4 linked regions of the Saccharomyces cerevisiae S288C genome follow. Changing the gene in region 4 together with the main gene of any one other region gives a genetic interaction. Each region holds a gene or a part of one and is shown on either strand. Other genes may lie near its edges. The genes, in order: SPO7, PAU13, UBA1 and IPA1.

What was found.
Region 1: mutations in IPA1 (region 4) and SPO7 together harm fitness more than expected from each alone (negative genetic interaction), as found in Saccharomyces cerevisiae (one large-scale study listed by BioGRID).
Region 2: mutations in IPA1 (region 4) and PAU13 together harm fitness more than expected from each alone (negative genetic interaction), as found in Saccharomyces cerevisiae (one large-scale study listed by BioGRID).
Region 3: mutations in IPA1 (region 4) and UBA1 together harm fitness more than expected from each alone (negative genetic interaction), as found in Saccharomyces cerevisiae (one large-scale study listed by BioGRID).

The regions. Positions count from the first base shown.
Region 1 is NC_001133.9:134,057-137,204, forward strand, and holds SPO7 (Nem1-Spo7 phosphatase regulatory subunit SPO7), read left to right. Parts: upstream 1-1,797; coding exon 1,798-2,577; downstream 2,578-3,148. Other genes in the region: SWC3 (Swc3p), read left to right, coding at 1-20; MDM10 (Mdm10p), read right to left, coding at 128-1,609; FUN14 (Fun14p), read left to right, coding at 2,858-3,148. UniProt on the Saccharomyces cerevisiae protein: Regulatory component of the NEM1-SPO7 complex which acts as a phosphatase and dephosphorylates the phosphatidic acid phosphohydrolase PAH1. Essential for the formation of a spherical nucleus and meiotic division.
Region 2 is NC_001140.6:11,410-14,213, forward strand, and holds PAU13 (seripauperin PAU13), read right to left. Parts: upstream 877-2,804; coding exon 514-876; downstream 1-513. Other genes in the region: PXP3 (Pxp3p), read left to right, coding at 1,093-1,440; DFP4 (DUP240 family protein), read left to right, coding at 2,156-2,804.
Region 3 is NC_001143.9:37,593-42,763, forward strand, and holds UBA1 (E1 ubiquitin-activating protein UBA1), read left to right. Parts: upstream 1-1,570; coding exon 1,571-4,645; downstream 4,646-5,171. Other genes in the region: TRP3 (bifunctional anthranilate synthase/indole-3-glycerol-phosphate synthase), read right to left, coding at 1-561; ATP-binding cassette a-factor transporter STE6, read right to left, coding at 4,831-5,171.
Region 4 is NC_001142.9:693,961-697,520, forward strand, and holds IPA1 (putative polyadenylation protein), read left to right. Parts: upstream 1-1,945; coding exon 1,946-2,989; downstream 2,990-3,560. Other genes in the region: HIR3 (Hir3p), read right to left, coding at 1-1,736; YJR142W (uncharacterized protein), read left to right, coding at 3,181-3,560.

The sequences.
Region 1 (3,148 bases), on a different chromosome or scaffold from region 4:
GCAGAAGACACAAAAGATAAGGTGTTCGGTTACTTTATTCTGCTTTAACGCCATTATGATTATACACATTGTATTACTTATTTTTTAACCTGTATATTAAAACCTTTATTTTATTTCACATTACTCATCATGTGGAGTACTGGAATTGTATGCCAAACTTTGCCGGGAAAACTGGTATATTGCCGTTTTCTGTATCAGTTGCTGATATAGATATTGCATTATCATTCTTTTCATCATCGGATAAACTTTCTTGAAAGCCTCTAGTGAATACCAGCTCTGTCCCGGCAGATATTAAAAATCCCCTCCATTTGCCTTCCCATAATAGTTTTAAAGTCTTGTCACGTAATGACGTGCTTAATTTCCAAACACTGGTAAAAATGGAACTATTTATTTTGTTATCAAATTTTTCGATGGTAGATCTTTCTTCATCGATTTTTCTTAATGACGACGAGAATGCATAAGTTAAATCATTTAATAGCTTTTGTTTGTGAACAGGTATATCTAGTGTAGAAGGAATATCGTTAACAGCTGAATTCAGATCCGGTACATTTTCGTGCAGTAGTTTAGTCGCTCTGCTGTTTGGATTTATATCAACCAATTCGTCGGAGATTGGTTCTAATTTATCATTATTGTTTTTATTGGTTTCAAGCAAATGATGCTTTTTTTGCCAAAATTCGCACCCAAATGAAAGATTTGATTCAATCGAATAAAGATTAAAATCATACTTCGCGCAAAAAGTAGAATTTGTCCCTGTCTTGGCCGAATATGTGGAGGATATATGGCCGAATAATGGATTCCAAGATAATGTCAAAGTTAGTGGTCGTCCTGTGTTTGTAGAATGTGTGTAATATCTTAAAGTTGTCGAACAACCGGGGCTTAAACTTACTAACCCTAACCAAAATTCAGCACCAAGCGACAACGAAGAATTATTGTACAGTGAGGTGTTAAACTTGGAAGGCGTGGTAAGGAAATTGTGTAATACTCTATAACCACATAATAGATCACTGGTGGAAAATATCCACTCCTGTAAATTGCGGTGAGAATCTCTTTGAAAATAGCACGTTAAAACGTTTAAGCTTTCTTTGAAACTACTGACACCCTTAAGCATAAATTGGGTTTGTGGACTTAGTCGTTTTATTATCATTGCTTCTAAATCAGAGCTGGGGTAGTACATTCTACCATAATAAAGGGATTTTTTAACAAATTTCGAGTCATGTAGTAATTTCTTGTCATTGTCGACTGTGGTGTTGTCACTACTCAACGTATTCGCACTACTAACACTGAAATTGAGGTTTGGTTGCAATTGTCTGTATGTTTCGGTGGCATCTTGTAATGGGATATCAGTAGAGTTGCGCATGAATTTCTCCAATTGCTGTGCATCGGAGTATAAATAACTCAGAGAACCATTTATCCTGGACCTCGTAGAAAAATCTAAAGAATTGAATGTATTGGGAGTAGATTTGTTGGAAATTTGCAGGTGTATTGCTGAGGGAATTCGGAAATCTAATAATGTTCTCGATGTGGCCGTTATATCCTCGTAGCTATTTTGCGTACTCCAATGGGTGCTCTGATAAAATGCCCTTAGTACTTGGTCCATATAGGGTAGCATCAAGATCGGTCTTCTCTGTTCGTGTCTTTTTCCTAACGTATATTTGCTTTGTTTCTTCACTCAACAATAAAGTCAAAGTAAAATTAAATACTAATTATTCTTAAAAGGGAAGATGCGAAATTTAGCGAAAATCTATTGATTATACACACAAAGGAAGAAAGGTAGTGGAAAGCTAAATAAAGGAGGTCATGGAGCCAGAGAGCATAGGCGATGTGGGGAACCATGCCCAGGATGATAGTGCCAGTATAGTGTCCGGGCCTCGCAGGCGTTCTACTAGCAAGACATCCAGTGCGAAGAATATACGGAACTCCAGTAATATCTCTCCAGCATCGATGATTTTCAGGAATTTGTTGATACTGGAGGATGATTTAAGACGCCAAGCTCACGAACAAAAGATACTGAAGTGGCAATTCACTTTGTTCTTAGCGTCTATGGCCGGTGTAGGCGCATTTACCTTCTACGAACTTTATTTCACTTCAGATTATGTCAAGGGCCTCCATAGGGTTATTTTGCAATTCACTCTTTCTTTCATTTCCATTACTGTAGTTCTTTTTCATATCAGTGGACAATATAGAAGAACTATCGTCATTCCAAGAAGATTTTTTACCTCTACTAATAAAGGGATTAGGCAGTTTAATGTGAAGCTAGTTAAAGTACAGTCTACGTGGGACGAGAAATACACAGATTCAGTAAGATTTGTGAGTCGAACAATTGCTTATTGTAATATTTATTGTTTGAAAAAATTTCTGTGGCTTAAAGACGATAATGCCATTGTGAAATTTTGGAAAAGTGTCACGATACAATCCCAACCGAGGATCGGAGCTGTGGATGTGAAATTAGTCCTCAACCCCAGAGCATTTAGTGCAGAGATTAGAGAAGGATGGGAGATTTATAGAGACGAGTTTTGGGCCAGGGAAGGTGCTAGAAGACGCAAACAAGCGCACGAACTCCGACCTAAATCAGAATGAAAGAGTTGGAGGGCTTCTTCCTTCGAATAAGAGGTCATATTTACCTATGTAAAATTGTAACCATCTATGTTCACACATAAATTATATTTTATACATTATTAGAAGTGAAGCTGTTGTGTCGTGAAAATTTTACAAATCCGTCATTTCATATTTAAGTTTTCCAACAAGTGCTAGAAAACCTAGGGGTTGTTGAAATTGGTTAAACAAGGCATCTTATTATACATACAACAGCATAACGCTAGAGGGGCAAGAAGGAAGAACTTAAAATAATAGGTGTAAAATGACTTTGGCTTTTAATATGCAACGGTTGGTGTTTCGTAATTTGAATGTTGGGAAGCGCATGTTCAAGAACGTCCCCTTATGGAGGTTTAATGTCGCCAATAAATTAGGAAAGCCCTTAACTCGCTCTGTAGGGTTAGGCGGTGCTGGCATAGTTGCTGGTGGCTTTTACTTGATGAATCGCCAGCCTTCTAAGTTGATATTCAATGATTCTTTAGGGGCAGCTGTCAAACAACAGGGTCCCTTGGAACCAACTGTGGGCAACAGTACGGCAATTACCGAGGAAAGGAGG
Region 2 (2,804 bases), on a different chromosome or scaffold from region 4:
GTATAGCTAATAACTATAGCTGGACTAATTAAGACTTCAAGGACGTCTTACGCAAGCGTGGGTGATTTTATTATTAAACAATTTTTCTGTCTCTATACGCATATATGTTCTATAACATAAATATGTAATGGATACTAACCTTTTTCTGTGATTAACTTACTCTTTGCGTTACACCTCCATCTGACTCATAAAACAGGAAGACTCAGATTTATTAACTTTAGCATTTACGCCGCAAATGGTAAATGCTCCGGCCCGATACCCTGAAATAGCAACATGTACGAAAGAAGGTATTCAACTGAAGCCTTTTAGACAGACAAGACTATTGGATTATCAAGGCACTATATTTTACCACTACAGTAAATACTTCTGATAAGAACGGCATGAATAATCAAGTAGGTTTTATAATACTGGTATACATTAATATAATCAACTATTTATACTATCAAAAAAAAAAGCTTTTTTTTTTTTGTTTTTTTAAGTTTTATGGAATTTCATTCGTAAAGGCGTTTGTCTCTAGTTTGTGATAGTGTAGATACCGTCCTTGGATAGAGCACTGGAGATGGCTGGCTTTAATCTGCTGGAGTACCATGGAACACCGGTGATCATTCTGGTCACTTGGTCTGGGGCAATACCAGTCAACATGGTGGTGAAGTCACCGTAGTTGAAAACGGCTTCAGCAACTTCAACCGGGTAGGTTTCAGTTGGGTGGGCGGCTTGGAACATGTAGTATTGGGCCAAGTGAGCTCTGATATCAGAGACGTAGACACCCAATTCAACCAAGTTGACTCTTTCGTCAGATTGAGCTAGAGTGGTGGTTGCGGAAGCAGTAGCAGCGATGGCAGCGACACCAGCGGCGATTGAAGTTAGTTTGACCATTGTATTTGTTATGTTTGTTATGTTTGTTAGTGCTGATATAAGCTTAACAGGAAGGGAAGGAATAAAGACATATTCTCAAAGGCATATAGTTGAAGCAGCTCTATTTATACCCATGCCTTCATCAGTCATCACTACTTAAACGATTCGTTAACAGACGCTCATTTAGTACCTCGCATATTCTCCATATCTCATCTTTCACAGAATTTGATTATCACTATGAAGATGTTATTGTTTTTAAACGAGGCATGCATCTTTATAGATTCCGTATGCGAAGGTATTGTTTTCTGGGGCCTTTGTCTATTCGTATGCGCAGAATGTGGGAATGCCTATTATAGGGGTGCCAGAGTGCCTTATAAAACCCTTTTCCGTGCCTTTGAAGTTTCCGTTTTCGGTCAAAAAGAATATCCGAATTTTAGATTTGGACCCTCGTACAGATTCTTATGTTTAAGCCCATATTCAATTTGCTGTAAACAGCCTCCAATGGAAGAGGTAATACTATATTATCCCTCTCCTGATAGTTTAATTAAAAATAGAAAACGTGTATTGGGAGTCGCTTATTTGTAGAGTTTGTAGTTTTTAAGCGTTCTCAGGAAATTCATTGACGCAATTACGTAATTGTAGGCCGCTGAGAAGCAGCTAGTATTGGAAGAGCCGCGTATGGTAAAAAAAAAATGTTGAGTTCAGTTTGTAGCAGTACTACAACTCTGTGCGGTGGGAAAAATTTATTCTTCGAGGCACAGTATTTTTCTTCTAGCTAGATATAAAGAAAAGTGAAAAAGGCAATATATGGCGCTAATGTATTTTATTCAATTAAAAACTTTCTGTAGGAAATGGTATTAATAGTTGGTATTCCTTGTAGACAAAACCATCGCTATATTCATGGTGACGGCTCATCTCTAAAGCTTCTTAAATGTACAGTCAGCTAAGTGTTCTCATAAGAAAGGGTTTGAAGAAGTCTCCGATAGCGTGCTTTAGTATGTTGACGAAAGAAATCAAGATCTAGCTTATATGTCATAATGAAGTAAGTTATATTGGAGTTTTTCTGGTAAATTCTACAAAAGTTATGCAACATACTTATTTCTGTCCTCTTCTTACTCGTCTTGCGGCCAAAACTCGAAGAAAAACATACGGGCCAAGAAAAATGATGCAATCCTCCCAGTTCTAGATATTCCCGCTTTTAAGTCCCGAATTATAACAATATAAAAAGGATATAGAAAATGTAATTGTTAACTTGTGGTATAAAGACAAATTCAAAAGCAAGTGAGGGCCCGCTAAGGCTATGAGTTCAGAATTATTAATATCTAATTCTAAACCAAGACCAGAAGGATTAAGAAAATTATGCGAAGGTGAGACAGTGATCCTTCCAAGGGACATAACCCCCAGCAAATGCGCTTATTTCTTAAAACAGAATATCGTATTCATTTCATATATTTTCATCCATATTATTATTACCATAATCTTAAACCGCCTGGCATTATCTGCACACGGTAATACTTTGATTATTATCTTAGCGGCTTTACTAATTACAATTTCACTATTCCTTTTACTCCTCTTACCTTACTTAAGCTGCTCAAGATATAAGTTAAGATGTTTAGATGATGATTGTAAGTTCAAACTATTAGCGGAAGTCATTACACATAAACCTAACATGGACTTGAGCACATGGGACCGGATTGCATATGACATGAACCAATTTGTATATGACCGTCGTATATGTGCAGATAGATCTTTTTTCTACGATGGCAGTTATTGCTATCAGGTTTTTAAAAAGTTGGTGGCTACCCCGTACCTTGTGAATTCCAATATGAATAGTATATATGCTGATCTGGAGATGAGAAGTAATGGAGCAACCAACATTAACGATTCTGGTAATAGTTCATTACACATCGAATTGGGCACTTATATTTTTAAAGCATTGGCCGTTTTCA
Region 3 (5,171 bases), on a different chromosome or scaffold from region 4:
GGTCAAGATGGATTCCGGATGAAATTGCACACCTTCTACAGTGTACTTCTTGTGTCTTACACCCATGATAATTCCATTTTCGGTACTCGCAGTAACCTTCAAGCAGGATGGTAGGGACGATTCTGTCCCGGCCAATGAATGGTATCTTGTCACAGCAATACCTTGCGGCACGTTCTTGAAAATTCCACAGTTGTCGTGAGAGATTGGGGACGTTTTACCGTGGACAATCTCACCAGCGTAGGCAACTTCACCACCAAATACGTCAAACATGCATTGCTGGCCCATACAGATTCCAAATACAGGAATTTTCCCAGTAAAGTACCGGATACAGTCTCTTGAAATGCCAGAATCTGTCTTTGGGTGGCCTGGTCCAGGCGAGATAAGCAATGTGTCGGGATTCAAGGCGGCAATTTCTGGAACTGTAATTGCATCGTTACGGTAGACGCTCACTTTGGCGCCCTCCTGGCACAAGTACTCGTAAACGTTCCAGGTAAAGGAATCGTAGTTGTCAATTAGAACCACATGCTTATTGATTGGGTTTGTTGCAGCGTGCACAGACATTTTTTTCTTACTTTTATGGCGTTCTATGTAGAACCAAACAGATTTGGTAATGTGTTAATACTGACCAGCTCCTTGTCGAACTTTTTGCGTACCTTAATATCTGCTATAGATTAGAATGAGTCAACGAGCCATTGATGATCATTCAATGATTACTACAAGAGGCATTTTCCGTCGTCAGTGATATGAATAGCACGGTGAGGTCCAGAAGAGATAGTAGGAAGTTTAATACTGGCTCAAAGGCATACTTATATCGACAAGCTAAGCGCAAATACTACTTTGTGGTACATCATCAGCATTGCTTTCGAGAAAACAGCATTTAAAATCAGCCATTTGCTGCGCTTTCTTTAAGCCCTAACAGAAAATAGTTCAAAAAGGCCTATAAGAAGCAAAAAAAGTGAAAAATACGAAAAAATACTCCAGCGGAGGAGTATAAAAGGGAGGAAAATACAAAATGTAGTTGTGTTGTTACGCATCTCAAAGAAGAAAGAAGAAGAAGAAGAAGAGGACGTCGCACTTGCAAGCAAAAACAGCGACTGGCGCGAGAACAACAAACACTAATGCATGTCTCTGTCCAGCAGGAAAAGCGAGCCTTAGTGTTTCTTATTTTCTCGTTCGCCTCACTAGTTTGTAGTAGGGTGGGAGAAACGATGGAGTGGATTGTATGATGAGGAACCAGATAGGGACAACAGATTCTCAAGTGACGAGGAACATCTTTTAAAGCCCAGTTTTTAGTAGAGCTTAGGGCGCCTTTACTGACTATCCACTCCTTGTTAAGCTATGATCTTGTATTCATGTGATTGTAAATAATATTAGAGCTCTTTCTTGAATTGCCATTACGCTTCCATGCGGCATATTCTCGTGTAGTGTGACAAAAGGTGCGGGTGGCAAATAAAGGTAAAAGAAAATGATCAAAAAGGGCCTTTAAGTAGGATGAGCAACCGCCAATCGCTGGATATAAGCAAACAAAAAGTAAGATTAGTAGCAAAGCAAAGAACATATAACTATAGCTATGAGCAGCAATAATAGTGGTCTCTCTGCCGCCGGAGAAATCGATGAAAGTCTTTATTCTCGTCAACTTTATGTGTTGGGTAAGGAAGCAATGTTGAAAATGCAAACCTCCAACGTATTAATTCTCGGCTTGAAGGGGCTAGGTGTTGAGATAGCGAAGAACGTTGTGTTGGCAGGTGTCAAATCTATGACCGTTTTTGACCCTGAGCCGGTTCAATTGGCAGACTTATCAACCCAATTCTTTTTGACCGAAAAGGATATTGGTCAAAAGAGAGGAGATGTGACCAGAGCCAAATTGGCAGAGTTGAACGCATATGTCCCGGTTAATGTGCTGGATTCCTTAGACGATGTTACCCAATTGAGTCAATTCCAGGTCGTTGTCGCTACGGACACTGTTTCTTTGGAAGATAAGGTGAAAATCAACGAATTTTGCCATTCCTCCGGTATTAGATTCATTTCCTCGGAGACAAGAGGGCTGTTTGGTAACACCTTCGTAGACCTAGGTGACGAGTTCACAGTGTTGGACCCAACGGGTGAAGAACCTCGCACTGGTATGGTTTCAGACATCGAGCCCGATGGAACAGTGACCATGCTAGATGATAACAGACACGGGTTGGAAGACGGAAATTTTGTCAGGTTCTCCGAAGTAGAAGGTCTTGATAAGTTGAATGATGGGACCCTTTTTAAAGTTGAGGTTTTGGGGCCCTTTGCATTCAGAATTGGTTCAGTCAAAGAATATGGCGAGTATAAGAAGGGCGGTATCTTCACCGAAGTCAAAGTACCCCGTAAAATCTCATTCAAGTCTTTGAAACAACAACTGTCCAATCCTGAGTTTGTTTTTTCGGATTTTGCTAAATTTGACAGAGCTGCTCAATTGCATTTGGGATTTCAGGCTTTACATCAGTTTGCCGTTAGACATAATGGTGAACTGCCAAGAACAATGAATGACGAAGACGCCAATGAATTAATCAAGTTGGTCACCGATTTGTCCGTTCAGCAACCGGAGGTTCTGGGTGAAGGTGTAGATGTTAATGAAGATTTAATCAAAGAGCTTTCCTATCAGGCAAGAGGTGACATACCGGGTGTCGTAGCATTTTTCGGTGGCCTTGTGGCACAAGAAGTGTTAAAAGCATGTTCTGGTAAATTTACTCCGCTAAAGCAATTTATGTACTTTGATTCCTTGGAATCATTGCCAGATCCTAAAAACTTCCCAAGAAATGAGAAGACTACTCAGCCAGTAAACTCTCGTTACGATAATCAAATCGCGGTTTTCGGTTTGGATTTTCAGAAAAAGATTGCCAATTCAAAGGTCTTTCTTGTCGGATCTGGTGCCATTGGTTGTGAGATGTTGAAAAATTGGGCACTTTTGGGGCTTGGTTCTGGCTCCGACGGTTACATCGTTGTTACGGATAACGATTCGATCGAAAAGTCCAACTTAAACCGTCAGTTCTTGTTTAGACCAAAGGATGTCGGAAAGAACAAATCTGAAGTAGCGGCAGAGGCCGTTTGTGCTATGAACCCCGATTTGAAGGGCAAGATAAATGCTAAAATTGATAAAGTGGGGCCAGAAACTGAGGAAATATTTAATGACTCCTTTTGGGAAAGCCTGGATTTTGTCACCAACGCTCTAGACAATGTCGACGCAAGAACATACGTAGATCGCCGTTGTGTGTTTTATAGAAAACCACTGTTAGAATCTGGTACCCTAGGTACTAAAGGTAATACTCAAGTCATCATTCCAAGATTGACTGAATCATACTCTTCTTCTAGAGACCCACCAGAAAAGTCTATCCCATTGTGTACCCTACGTTCTTTCCCAAACAAGATTGATCACACCATTGCCTGGGCCAAATCTCTTTTCCAAGGTTACTTCACTGATTCCGCCGAAAACGTTAATATGTACTTGACACAACCGAATTTCGTTGAGCAAACACTAAAGCAAAGCGGGGATGTCAAGGGAGTTCTAGAATCCATCTCAGATTCTCTATCTAGTAAACCACACAATTTTGAAGATTGTATCAAATGGGCAAGGTTAGAATTTGAAAAAAAATTCAACCATGATATCAAGCAGTTACTGTTCAACTTCCCCAAGGATGCCAAGACTTCCAACGGTGAACCATTTTGGTCCGGTGCTAAGCGTGCTCCAACACCATTAGAGTTTGATATTTACAATAACGATCACTTCCATTTTGTCGTAGCAGGTGCTAGTTTACGCGCTTATAATTATGGTATTAAAAGTGATGACTCTAATTCTAAACCCAACGTGGACGAGTATAAGTCCGTCATCGATCATATGATAATTCCAGAATTTACTCCAAATGCCAATTTGAAAATTCAAGTTAATGACGATGATCCGGATCCAAATGCCAACGCGGCTAATGGCTCAGATGAAATTGATCAGCTGGTATCATCCCTACCAGATCCTTCTACTTTGGCTGGCTTTAAACTGGAGCCTGTAGATTTCGAGAAAGACGATGACACTAATCATCATATTGAATTTATAACGGCTTGTTCTAACTGTAGAGCTCAAAACTACTTCATCGAAACTGCTGATCGCCAAAAGACCAAATTCATAGCTGGCCGTATTATTCCTGCCATCGCAACAACCACTTCTTTGGTTACTGGTTTGGTCAATTTGGAATTATATAAACTGATTGACAACAAGACAGATATTGAGCAATATAAGAATGGCTTTGTTAATTTAGCTTTGCCATTTTTCGGTTTTTCGGAACCAATTGCTTCACCAAAGGGAGAATATAACAACAAGAAATATGATAAAATTTGGGATAGATTTGATATCAAGGGAGATATTAAATTAAGTGATTTAATTGAACATTTTGAAAAAGATGAAGGGTTAGAAATAACAATGCTTTCTTATGGCGTTTCTCTTCTTTATGCCTCATTTTTCCCTCCAAAGAAATTGAAAGAAAGACTAAATCTACCAATAACTCAATTGGTTAAATTAGTGACTAAGAAAGATATTCCGGCACATGTATCTACAATGATTCTCGAAATTTGCGCAGATGACAAGGAAGGAGAGGATGTTGAAGTTCCTTTCATTACCATTCATCTATGAGTAACTAATTAACCAAAATAAAAAAATAAATTAAATATATACATTAAATATGTATATATATATGTATGACTTTTGACAACTTTTTCTTTGGTAAAAACTTATTATTATTATTATTATTATTATTATTAATGTAGTCTCGAATATTTGAGTATGTTTTAGTTTTTTGTTTTATATTTTCTTTGGGTTTAACTGCTTTGGTTGGAAACAATTTGGAATAATTCCCCGCGATTATTATATAAAGTGTCGAAGTTACCTCGCTCAACCACTTTACCATCTTTAAGAACTGCAATCGAGTTACAAGACCTCATCATTTGTTCACTATGCGTTATAACCATTGTTAGTAGAGCAGGTGGACCTTTTTTGACGATCTCATTGATGATAGAGGAGCTGACAGAATCCAAGGCTGAAGTACACTCATCTAAAATCAGAATTTTTGATTTTCTCAGAAGTGCTCTGGCTATGCAAAGCCTTTGCGCTTGTCCACCTGACAGTAAAGTTGTATCAATACGTGTATCCAAGCCCTGAG
Region 4 (3,560 bases):
ATATTCCCTAAATGGTTAACAAGAAGTTCGTAAATCGATAAAGCCAAATATTTGCATTGCCTTTTGTTTTTGTTAATAAGTGCAAAAATGTTCGATTCGATTCCAAATACAAACCATAAAACAATTTTTAGAAGCTGAGACTCCCAAAGGTAGTCTATAATGAGACGCCTTCCGTTTCCTTCATCGTAAGTTCCAAGCAATTTGAATAATAATTTCAAACGCACTTGATGGAAGTGAAGATTGCCTGCATTCACTTCGGAAATAAAAGATCTGATGTGATCCGAGTCCAAATCATTTAAATATCTAGGAAAGCTCTCCTTATCATCAAATGCATTAGATTTCAGGAGCGCATTTAGTTGGAATAATTCCTCATTTTCGTTAGAACCACTGGACAAGTAGTCATTTTGGTTAAAAATATCAGTATATCTACTACTCCAAGATTTCAAACATTCATAGAGATCAGTATAGGGAATAAATTTTTCGGGTTGTTTGTCACTAGAGCCAATGATAAATTTGGAAGCAAATGTGTCAAAATCGCAAAAGGGTAGAATGTGAATATATGACAACAACGTGTTGAACTCACCAAAAAATCTTTTATGAACGTCCATAACAAGCTCTTTTGAGTTTTCTTGTTCTCTTTCTTTAAAGCGTTTACTACTTCTTTGAAGAGGCTTCGTGCTATCGATATGTTCATCAGTTCTCTTGTTAGGCCTTGCTTCTTCATTAGTTTGGATATCCGATGGAGCTAAATTCCCACTCTTATCATCTGCTCGTACACTCTCATTATCTTGCTCTTCTTCTTGTCGCTCAGACTCTCTATCTAAAGATGGTGTATTATTAATTGCTTCCGATAGTTCAAACTTAACCGCTTCAATAGGTTCTTCAATTTCGTTATACGGATCCATATTCCTTCCAATAAGAGACGATGTTTTAACGCTGGGTAGTAAGTTTTTCAAAGCCTTCGCAACTTCATCCCATGATTCTTCATTCAAAGTGACATTAAACACGTCCAGCTTTTTCATTATTTCCTCATCTTGCTTTTTCATTTCTGATATTCTAGAAAGAATTGGACCAAAAGCTAGTGGTTCCGGCTTAATATCTTTGTACTTCTCCAAATGATATCTCTCAAAGATTGTGTTATCCGATAAGTTGGGGACTAATAGTTTGTTCGTGAGTTCTACGTAGTTATTCATCATCAGAGTCAAATCGTTCAAAAGAAATTTACGATGTCGCCCCAACAAAAGTGAAAGATTTTCCTGCTTAGTGAATTCATATTCTGATATTAAACGTTCCAACTTGACACTATTAAAGCTCTTGAAGATGCGAGCCAGCAAATCTGTAACTGCAAAATCAGCATCGCTATGTTGAATAGACTCAACCAAGTTCTCAACTGCTTTTAAAATACAATTAACTAGTTCTTGTGAGTTCAACCTTTCATAGTTATTCTCCAAATACAGATGATAGTACATCCCTCTGTTCCTATAACATAGATATCGCAGGTTATCTAGCGTAGGAGAAGAATTGCGATACATGCCCCACCTATCAGGCTTGACGACATCAATCTGGAAGAGCTCTTGGAATTTGCTGTCCGACTTTTCGAAGTCCTTGTTTTTTAGATCAATCAGAGCGTCCTGCAAAATATTAAAACTCTGTTCTATTTGAAGCTCTCTTGAATGCTCCTCTGCTTCATATTGTTCACCTTCGATGTTTGAATTGAGGGCATTGAACATAGACATAATAAGCTTTATCTAGAATCTGTGTTGAGGTTCTAACTCCTTAAAGTGCCTTTACGGACCTGCCTTGCTACCGTCTATTTGTATTTCTGCTCTTCCCAACGTAAACAATTCAATAAATAATTTCGCGATGGCACATAGTAACAAGCTGTTAAATCGAAGTAAAGAAAAGGAAAGTCAAGAAAACAAAGAGAGAAACAAATGCAAGGGTGATGGTTCAATATGTGGTAGAATGGTTACCAAGGATACAGAGCATTTCAGTGGTAGTAGAAGGTTGGAAGCAGGTGGAGATAAAGAACTTGAAGGACACACTCATGAGCATATCTGGTGATGAAGAACAAGTTGAAGATATTTTACTTCCAGTAGAAGTTGAAGAAAAAGTAGACGCTTCTTACAAGTTCAAAAACAGAGGTAAAGACTTAGAATGGATGACGAAGTTAAGAAGCAAATCCTCTAAGATATATGACAGTTCTATCATGTCGCTTCCAGATGGAAGATGGACTAAAGAAGAGCTTCGCTCAGATTCTGATTTCTCGATAGAATGTCTTAACTGTAAGCAAAAAATTATAAGCAAAGATAACTGTCAAGTTTTGAATGATATGCCTTCAGAGTTTTGGTTCGAGTTAATGGATTATTGGCATTGCCACAAACCCGATGTTAAGGAAGACAAGTCTTCCTACACAAGATTTGAAACGCTAAAACCATCTAAAAACGAAATTTTAATTGGAAGCTCTTATTTTCAAGGCACTCCTGCGACTTTTGAAAATGTAGCGACTACAAAGGAAAATGATAATGTTTTATGCATAAAGTGCTCAGCAGTGTTAGGCCAAGTAACTGCTGGTTCGCTTTATAAACTACACAAATGGAAACTGCAGTTAATACGCAGTGGAAACACATACAAATTTCCTCCAGAATGTGACATTACAATTTCTTTAATAAACGTAGTTAAGGCAAACTCTTGTCGTTACGTACTAGTAAAATGTAAAACGGAATCATTGCTAGTTTGGATATTTTCCGTTGACATTGGAGTCACATTGACGGGAAACAAAAGCTTCAAGAGAGCGATGAAGTTGCTTTACACAAACAGCGTTACCACAATAAATCGATGTCTCAATCGACAAGTCGTCGAGGAATTAGATTTCCAAGAAACATCGTTTAATGCTTTTTACAGCGCCCTTCAACATACTAATGCACTTTTACCCTCAAGCATGAAAAAAATTGGTGAATGGACCATTAGCTATACATCACTAATCTAATTTTAAGAACCATTCTCTTTCAAATTTGTACAAATATTGTCATCAAGTAATAAATAGCTTCTTTTTTTTTTTAACATACAGTTGTAGAATTAACTTCGTTGGCCGAAGAATTGCACAACAATAGCGTTTGTTATATTACTAAATATAGGGGCTTTCTTGGGAACGAAAGTGAAACAAACGCTTTTAATACAATGAAGGTCGAGAAATCATCTAAAGGCTTGGAAGTTTTAGTGAGGACACAGGAGGATGATCTAGAGGGGTTCTCTTTCCTGGAGATTATGGACCGCGTAGACCCTTTACCATTAGACTTCGAGAATTACAAAAATTTCAAAGAGGGCATTTACTATATGTGTACACACGATGGCACAAAGATCGGTTTCGTGTTGAAATTTGCGATAAATGAAATGGAGACTGTTTGCTCGGAAATCTTCGAAGAAACCTTCCAATTAGATGAATCTAGACATGAGTTAAGGTTTAAAAGTGAAGATTTTGATCATAGAAACAATCTAATTGACCAATTGGCTCGTAAAATGTATTTAGAATCATCCTTGAGTGGTGTGAAGGGCTGGAG